Linked DNA regions of Oryzias latipes. The protein of the gene in region 1 interacts with the protein of each later gene in a pairwise test. Links are inferred from orthologs where the notes say so. Each region holds a gene or a part of one and is shown on either strand. Other genes may lie near its edges. The genes, in order: exoc2 and ras-related protein Ral-B.

What was found.
Region 2: the proteins of exoc2 (region 1) and ras-related protein Ral-B interact in a two-hybrid assay, tested with the Homo sapiens proteins (2 studies listed by BioGRID). The link is inferred for Oryzias latipes from reciprocal best matches to the Homo sapiens genes EXOC2 and RALB.

The regions. Positions count from the first base shown.
Region 1 is NC_019862.2:21,224,543-21,228,362, reverse strand, and holds part of exoc2 (exocyst complex component 2), read right to left. Parts: intron 2,658-3,820; coding exon 2,577-2,657; intron 2,418-2,576; coding exon 2,358-2,417; intron 1,446-2,357; coding exon 1,384-1,445; intron 1,307-1,383; coding exon 1,237-1,306; intron 1-1,236. UniProt on the Homo sapiens protein: Component of the exocyst complex involved in the docking of exocytic vesicles with fusion sites on the plasma membrane.
Region 2 is NC_019870.2:7,306,858-7,311,354, forward strand, and holds the start of ras-related protein Ral-B, read right to left. Parts: upstream 2,863-4,497; 5' UTR 2,720-2,862; intron 1,582-2,719; exon of another isoform or gene 1,516-1,581; intron 1,105-1,515; exon of another isoform or gene 974-1,104; intron 1-973. UniProt on the Homo sapiens protein: Multifunctional GTPase involved in a variety of cellular processes including gene expression, cell migration, cell proliferation, oncogenic transformation and membrane trafficking.

The DNA.
Region 1 (3,820 bases):
GCCTTGATAATCTTAAGATTTCATTTTACCTTGCACAACTTCAAGACACCCTGTGCCAGATGCAGCAAAGCAGCCCCAAAACAGAACTGAGCCTCCTCCATGTTTCACAGTAGGGACAGTGTTCTTTTCGTTGTATGCTTCATTTTTGAGTCTACCAACATAGAGCTGATGTGCCTTACCAAAAAGCTCCAGTTTGGTCTCATCTGTCCAAAGGACATTTTCCCAGAAGCTTTGTGGCTTGTCAACATGCATTTTTTCAAATTCCAGTCTGGCTTTTTTATGATTTCCTTTCAACAGTGGTGTCCTCCTTGGTCACCTCCCATGAAGTCCACTCTGGATTTATTGTTACTTTTGAATGTTTCAAGTCATTTCAATGAGCATTGTGGACTTTCTTTCTTTAACTGAGGGGTACCAACAATCTTGTCCACCACTGTATGTTTACATCCTGCTCACATTTGTGGAGAGCTTCACAGCAGTTTTGGCTCTTCAGAGGAGCGGAAGCAGAGACCAATGCATTTGCAGCTTCAAGGCCTGTTTTGTGTTTTTTCAGATCAACACAATTTCAGATTCGGGTTGCATAACAGTACAATATCATCACATAGTTTCAAATCTTCCCTATTGTCTTGTATACTTGTATACTTTCAACCACAACATAAAAAAATGATAATTGACAAAATAACACAAAAGCTCATTTTAATGAAGGACAAACCCACAGACACTCATACAGGGCTGACGCTTTATTTTGAAAAATTCTCTACTTTACTAGAAAGACCTTGTTTATCCTCTGCTGAGGCGAACACGAAAACAGAAAAGAGAGATTACGTGTTTAGCACCTCCCTATCGAGCAACGCTCCGACCCCTCAGTTCACACCGGTCTTCAGCGCTGTGTAGTCGAGCTCGGCTGCCTGACTCCCGCTGCACACATTCAGGCTGGGGAAGCCCCGTCTGCACCTTGCTCCATTTCCCTTTACCAGAAGCACTTCATACCCTGCTCTTCCTCCACCCCGTCCTCCACCCCACCGCTTAACCCCCTTCACCAACCTCTCAAAACGAGTTACAGGAAATGAGGACGTAGCTGCTGCGTGTCCACAACCAGGAAACAGACAGATAAAGGTTTGTGGTTCTGACGAGTGTGCCGCCCGCGTTCGTCAACATGTGTCAAAGGCTGTTCTGGCCCCTGTCAGTTGTGGACCCCAAACTGCTGAGTGGAAGTCAGAGAAACGGCATTTTGCTTACTGAAGTTGGACTGAAGTCCTCGTGGGCGGCTGCGAAGCGGTCTGGAGAGGACAGATCTACAGAAATGTTGCTGCAGACAAACCAACAACTTTAAAATCATTCCCTAAAGCACAATCATCTCAAAGATCATTTTAAAAAGATACTCACTGAGAGACTTGGATGTCTCCATCCGTTTTCATGCTCAGCTGCTCCAGACAGTTTATAAAAGCCTAAGTTCAACACATTTGTCAGGCGTGTTGAGAGAAACACACACCGTAACACAGTTTTTACAGCAACAGTCAATAGATTTAATAGTAGCTGAAGATCTCATGTGTCTGTCAGTTGGCTTAAAGACCCACTCCGATGGAAAATGGGGTTTCTGGTCATTTTAACAGGTTCTCATTTTTCTCAAGATGGAGGACAAATAATATGAAAATTAAGCTTAAAATTACATTTCTGAGTATTTCTTTATTCAAGTCATTGTGAAGCAGGAGGCGTTAGAAATAGACTTGTTTGTGATGTTGAAAATACACTGGGGGGGGCTACAAGTTTCCTGCTTTGCTCTGCAACGGGAGGGGAAGGGGGGCAGGGTTGCTAATCTACGCTGGCTCAAAACTTTATAGCTGGACAGCTCTGAGATTGCTTAGCATTTTTGGTATGCTGGTAATGTAATGTTAGGTTGGGGATGGGAGGGGTTGTAAGCTAGCGGGAGAGAGTGTAAACAGAGAGCTCTCAGAAACAGGGAGGGGAAGGGGGATGGGACTGTCCCGCCCACAACTCAGACGTGAAATTCTAATGAACTGATGCTGTTCTGCAGAAGCTATATCCTAGAAAACAACACAGGTTTGAATATTTTGGCTAAAACGGCATAATAATAATTAAAAGACCACTGGGAACACTTTTACAAAAGATGATCAGAGTGGGACTTTAAAGCTTCATATTGCCCTAGGGCCAGAGTCACAAATTTATTTGTGTATACTGTAACTCCATAAATTGTTGCAATATAACAGATAAGGTTATCTGACAAAAACTAACATGTCTCAGCAAATGTCTGGACTCAAATCATGCTGACATGTCTGAACATTTTTCCTTAGTAAAACCAGTTAAATGTTGGCTCTGTGGGCATCTGCATATCATATTACCGTCATGATGGTCACTATGAGCTCTGCTGCCTGGTCCTGGACCTGGTCTAACTGCAGCACCTGTGGAAGAATATCAACAGCACTGGAACAAACCCAGAACCAAATAATTCAAGCTTTATGCACTACCTTTCTAGCTTGGTTTCTCAACAGAAAAAAATACACTAGAACCTTTAGAAATGAATCTATTGAGCCAAAGGGATTTGTGGGTAAGTATCTCACATTGATTTCTCCTGGTTTGGTCTCCAGAGGTTCTTTGAAGGACTGCAACATCTGGACCACGCACTGTTCAAAGTGGTAAGGCTGCAAAAACGAGAGTATAAACAGACTCAAGATTAAAAAAAACTGGAAGAAGAGGTGATGGAACTGATGGATGGAAGTAAAATACTGTACACAGTTGGTATGAACTTCAAGAAAATTCTTTGTTTTGGATCTATCCTTAATAATAATAACCCTTTTATTAGCTTATTTTTAAGCACATTTAAAAGTGCTGTTAGTGTTTATCCGTCTTACTTCATTGTTTCATTTACAAAGTTTTAATATATCTCTCCTTCCTTTCTGTCTGATAATGTAAAAGGGATTGTAATTGAGTAAAAAGGATGAGTAAAATAGCCATTTTGGATGTGAGATGCAAAAATAATTCACTGAATGCTTTTGCACCATGTTTGATGCTCTTGTTGTTCCCAATGTAAATAAAAGTCTATAAATTCACAGCTAGAACTGCTGCAGTCCTCGTCAAACTGATTTTCCACACTAAATTGAATAACCACAGTTTTTGCTAAAAGAGTACCAGTTAATGTTGTTACAGCTGTTTGATTCTTTGGCTACAAAAACGTTTTTTTTGTTTTTTAATCATTGAAGGAACTTGTGAACTTTGATAAGTGTGCTGGTTATTTTAACACACAGGGGAAATAGTTTTAGAAGACAACACTGAAGCCTTTTAAACATTTAAAAAAAAAAAATCCAAGCAATATTATGGTGCGTATTAAAGAACATTTAGAACTTAGCCTAGAAAAATTTGCTAAAAAATAAATAAAGAAAGAAATATTAAACTAACATAAGAAAGGTTCATTCATATGAATGAAAGTACTTACTTTTGAGGGGGTGACAGAAAAACAATATTTATATTGGATGTAAAGTAGTTATGATGATTATTTATGCTTTAAGCACAAAAAGCTGATTTACAACATTTCATTTCCAAAATAGATTGATACCTTTGTTTGAATATTAATTTATTTTTAAAGGTCCATAAAATCCATAGACAGAAAAACAATTTTTACAAGTTTAAATGAATTTGACTTTTGCGCAAAATATCTTTAAAAAAGTAATATGTTAAAAAAATTTTAATCACAGAGATCAAAAATGAAAATAGTTCATGCAAAGAATAATAAATTATTCTTGTAATCAAAACTTCAATCTAACAGCGTCCTTTTGAAAATGTATAAATAGTAATTCATTGATCATTA
Region 2 (4,497 bases), on another chromosome or scaffold:
CAGCAGCACACAGAGACGCCTTTGACTAAACTGGGCAATGAGACCTAAACCCCGTTTGTTCAAATCCCTCAACTTCAGCATCAGATGTGTTTGGTGTGGGGGGGGGTCAGGATTCAGAATGTGTGCAGAAATGGCTTCTGCGTTCACATCAGACAGCTGGCTCTCCCTCTGAAGCCGAACAGGACCGTGGTGTCCAAACACATCTGCCTCAGCAATCAAGGATCCAGAACAAGCAGGGAGGCGCTCGCGTTTCAGCATCGGGTTGGACACAAACCTTTTGACTTCTGCTAGGAGAATCGCTCCGTTCACTAACTGACAGGACAGAAGCTGCATTCCTTCTTTATCAGGGTTGTGTCCGAATTCCTTCACTACTCCCTACATAGTGCCCTGTATAGTGCCGTCGACATTTTGTGGTGCTGTCCGAATGCGATTCCAAAATGCCCTAAAAATTTCCCAGAAGTCTCTGCGAAAAACTAGTGTGCATCAATGCTCACTAGATTGGCGAATATAGACCACAATCCATTGCGTTGGAACAATTTACGCCCAAAAATGTAGTTAAATGTATTTTTTTAATAAACCATTTTTATCTTCAGAAAACAGTGGATTGATAAATTGCTCATATTAATACAATTTTAACAATGTGAATTTGATGACGTCATATCCGCCGTTTAAAAAAAAAAGAAAAGTAGTGAGCATGGTGTCCGAATTGCTTTTAAAATTCACGGCACTAGATTCTGCTGCACTATAAAGTTTTTTAGCAGTTAGGGGTTAGGGTGGGAATTGGGACAGAGCCTAGGTCCTGCAATGCCTTCAGTTAACCAGTCAGCAAACGCGAACAACGCTCCAGAGGAAACATTTTCTATTTGGGCCTGAAAGACCTGAGAGGGCTGAAGGTCAACTTCTGTGTTTACAGCTAAACACTGGTGTCTATTTATAAAATACTAGGATAGCGGGTTGTTTCGTGAAAGCTAACCTTTCCGTTTTTGCCATCAGTGCGTGAGAAACATCAGTGTTTTCAACGCTGTCCTTGACTGGAGCACCAAACAGCATCTTCAGAGAGCCGGTGTGTGAACATGTCAGTAAAAGGGTAGAAGGAGTGAGGAACTGTGGGAAGATGAAGATGTTATGGCTCAAAGTTTCAACGTTTCTCAGCTGGACTAGATATTTCCAACTGATGTCTGAGAAGTAAAGACCTGAAAACGACTTTTAACATTCTCATTCTTGCAGTAAAAATATTTAAAATTAGATTTGAAAAACTGGATTATATAATTTTTCTGCTTATGTGTAATAAGTTTTCTTTATCCACGACAAAACTTCTTGCCAGATGATTCTTTAGAAACACAAATACACACTAAATACTTTTTTTTCAATGATTTAGAGCTTCTTCAAAAAAAAAAATTAAAGATGATTACGTTTTATACAAAAAGCTTAAAATCAAGCAAAAGAGATGAAGGCGATAAAAATCGAAAAGCTTTGAAAAGTTAAATTAACACAATAAAACACATTATTGCTGACCTGTGGCGAGGACTGCAGAGTGGATCCAGAAAAAATGATTCTTATCTTTTTACAATCTGGTTACATCTGACGATTGGAAATAAAACAAGATGATTAGAAATATGACCAAATGCAACATGAGCCTTTGAAACTACTTGCTAATTGAGATGATCTACATGCAAAGTGTTTTGCATTAGTTGTTTTTCTAATTGAAAAAAGTTAGTTACACTAAAGTATAGTCTTCTGTGATGGGCATGTGTCAAAAACAGTTCAAAGTATCTTTAAGGTTTTGCAAAGGGACTGGAAAAAAGCTGAGTAAGGTCCTGGTTTTCCTGACTCTGCTGGGAATGTGCTGGGATCAGCATTGTCTGAAGGAGTCGTTTATGACGAAGGGGAGGGGGGCACGGGGGCGTCCGTGTGCAATTGAACACTGGCAGTTCATATCCCTGCTGGAACATTTAAAATACATTTTAAGGGATTCCTATTGATGGGAGTGTTCCTCAGACTGGGAAAGGTGTGTTTTGCTTTGCCAACAGAGTCCTTCAGTCTGACACACAACACTGTCATCTGCAAACATACAGCTCACTTTTATGTATTCGCACAGAAAATAGATTCAGCAACTTTTATTTGCATCTGATTTTCAAGTCTGCTAATAATCAAATGCATGAAAGGTGGTGGATCTAGAAAACACCTGCCGGTCGGTGTTTTTTATAGACTAGTATTGGCTTGTTATCTGACCAGAAATAGGTTTTAGTTTTGACATTCAAACGGCAACATGATGGCATGTCCTCCCATCTGAATATCATAAGCTGTTCGGTCAGAGAATATTATCCAGAACTCCCGTAAACATTAACAGACAGAAGCGGAACGACAGCAGTAAAGCTAGCGGTAGACCCGGACTTAAACCCGTTATTGCCTAGCAACGGCCGCGCAGCCAGGGAACTAACGGGAACGACTGAGCCAGTCCGCTCAAAACCACAAAACTGATGGATAACCGAACTTTAAACTAATTTATTTGAAACCAACAGACAGATGAGAACAAATAGCAATGAACACATAAAAACCTGAGTAGTTACGGCTCTGTCTGTCTCTCTGGGGCGGTCATCTCTCTGTCAGCCACCTTCCCTCCCCTTTAACATCACGCGACGCTTCTTTCTTTACATGTCCATAAACCCAGAAACACAAAGCTGCTTCACCTCTTCCAATCCGTTTGAACATGTCTTACCGAAAAAACACGTTGTACTTTCAGCCTTCAGAAGATGCTCTCCTCCCGGCTGCTTCCCTGTGACTGACAGAAGCATCGGAGCTACAAAACTGCTGCCAGCAGCAGTCCCCGCCTTCCGGAAGTCAATTCAGACCGAACGGCAGGAAGTGACGTCAGGACAGATTTCCGTTGGAGGAAAAATAACTGGACTTGCAAATACCTGAAAGGTTTTTTTCCTGGACGACAGAACAAAAACAATATACTGCAGAAATTTGAACAAAATGTTACTAAATAAAGAACCGCTTTCATGAAACTTCATATTTCCCCAAAAGTTAAAGAAACACACTTCAAAATTATGAATGATATTTATCCCTCCAAAGAATTACTTAGATTACGTTTCAACATTGATGACAACAGCTGTTCCTTCTGCCAAACTGCTGTTGAAGACATCGACCACACATTTTTCCTGTGTGGTGTTGTACAAGTGTTCTGGTTGGATGTTTGCAAATGGTTAAAAAATAAATTCCCATTCATCATGGACTTCTTTTCGAAAGAAGTAACAATCTTTGGCCTGTCACTACACAACAATGTAAATAATGTATGTATCAACACTGCGTTATGCTTAGCCAAGTTTTTTATACACAAAAATAGGTTACAGAAATGTCATCCCAGCTTTACTTTCTTTACCAATGAGGTCAATTTATACTTACAATCCATAACGTTAATCGATTCACCTAAAGCCATAACAGTTTATGACACCTTGCGTGATATTCCCAGTATCTGAGACAATTTATTTATCTGTTGTATTCCCCTGCATTTTGTAACACTATCCAACTCTGAAATTGTTGTTTTCTTATGTTATACTTTTCCCTAATTTCTCTATGATTATGAATATGGATAGGTTTATGTATGCATACTGATAAGAATTTTCTTTTTTGCTTCCTCTCAAATTGCGTTATGCTTTCTTGTATCCACCATATTTTGGGAATTTTATGTAAATGTTCTGGTGTTGTTTTGTATTGTGCTCAAAAATAATAAATAAATAAAAAAAAGGACTTGCAAATACCTTTTTATTTTTGTTTTTCGTAAATCAAATGTAGTTTACTGTCCACTGTCACTTTTTAAACTATTTGGATCTTTTACTGCACCACAATGTCACAAATGTAAATAAAAATACCTCAGCAGTTATTAGGTCAGATTACAAACAGGTAATCAGTAATTAATCCTTTAAAACAAAACGTTAGTGCTGTGTATGACAGCACTAACGTAAATCACAACTGATAAGGTCAAACAATACACTTAACAACCAAAGCTGTTTGGGTCTGGTGAAGTGGTTCAGGTCAATGATTTTGAAGGTGCAATAACCGTCTTCTCCACCAGGTGGTGCCAGAACATCACAAAATGACCTCTTTTTGTAAACTCTGGCTGTAAATCAAACTACATCATGTGAGAGAATTTTCACCAGGAGGGGATTTTCTTCTAAACGTCATGTTCCATTTGGGTTTGTTACGTCAAGGTCAGATCTCATTTTCTGTCCTGAAAGTCACAGAAACCGTTTGACGTTCTTGCAGTGTTTTTGCAGAAGGGAGTTGCTGCTAAAGGTTGTTGTCCAATGACAATAAAGTTATTTTTCTTTAGTCAGTTGGATGTCACACAGAAGGCACACTTACACTGACCTGCATCACTCCCCCTCTTTGGCTGGAGGCTCTTTCGTTTACCAACAATGACAGTTCTGTGCTGGGAGCCGCATTTCCCATCATCATGACGGCGTTTGCACTCGCTTGATTTCATGTTTTCTC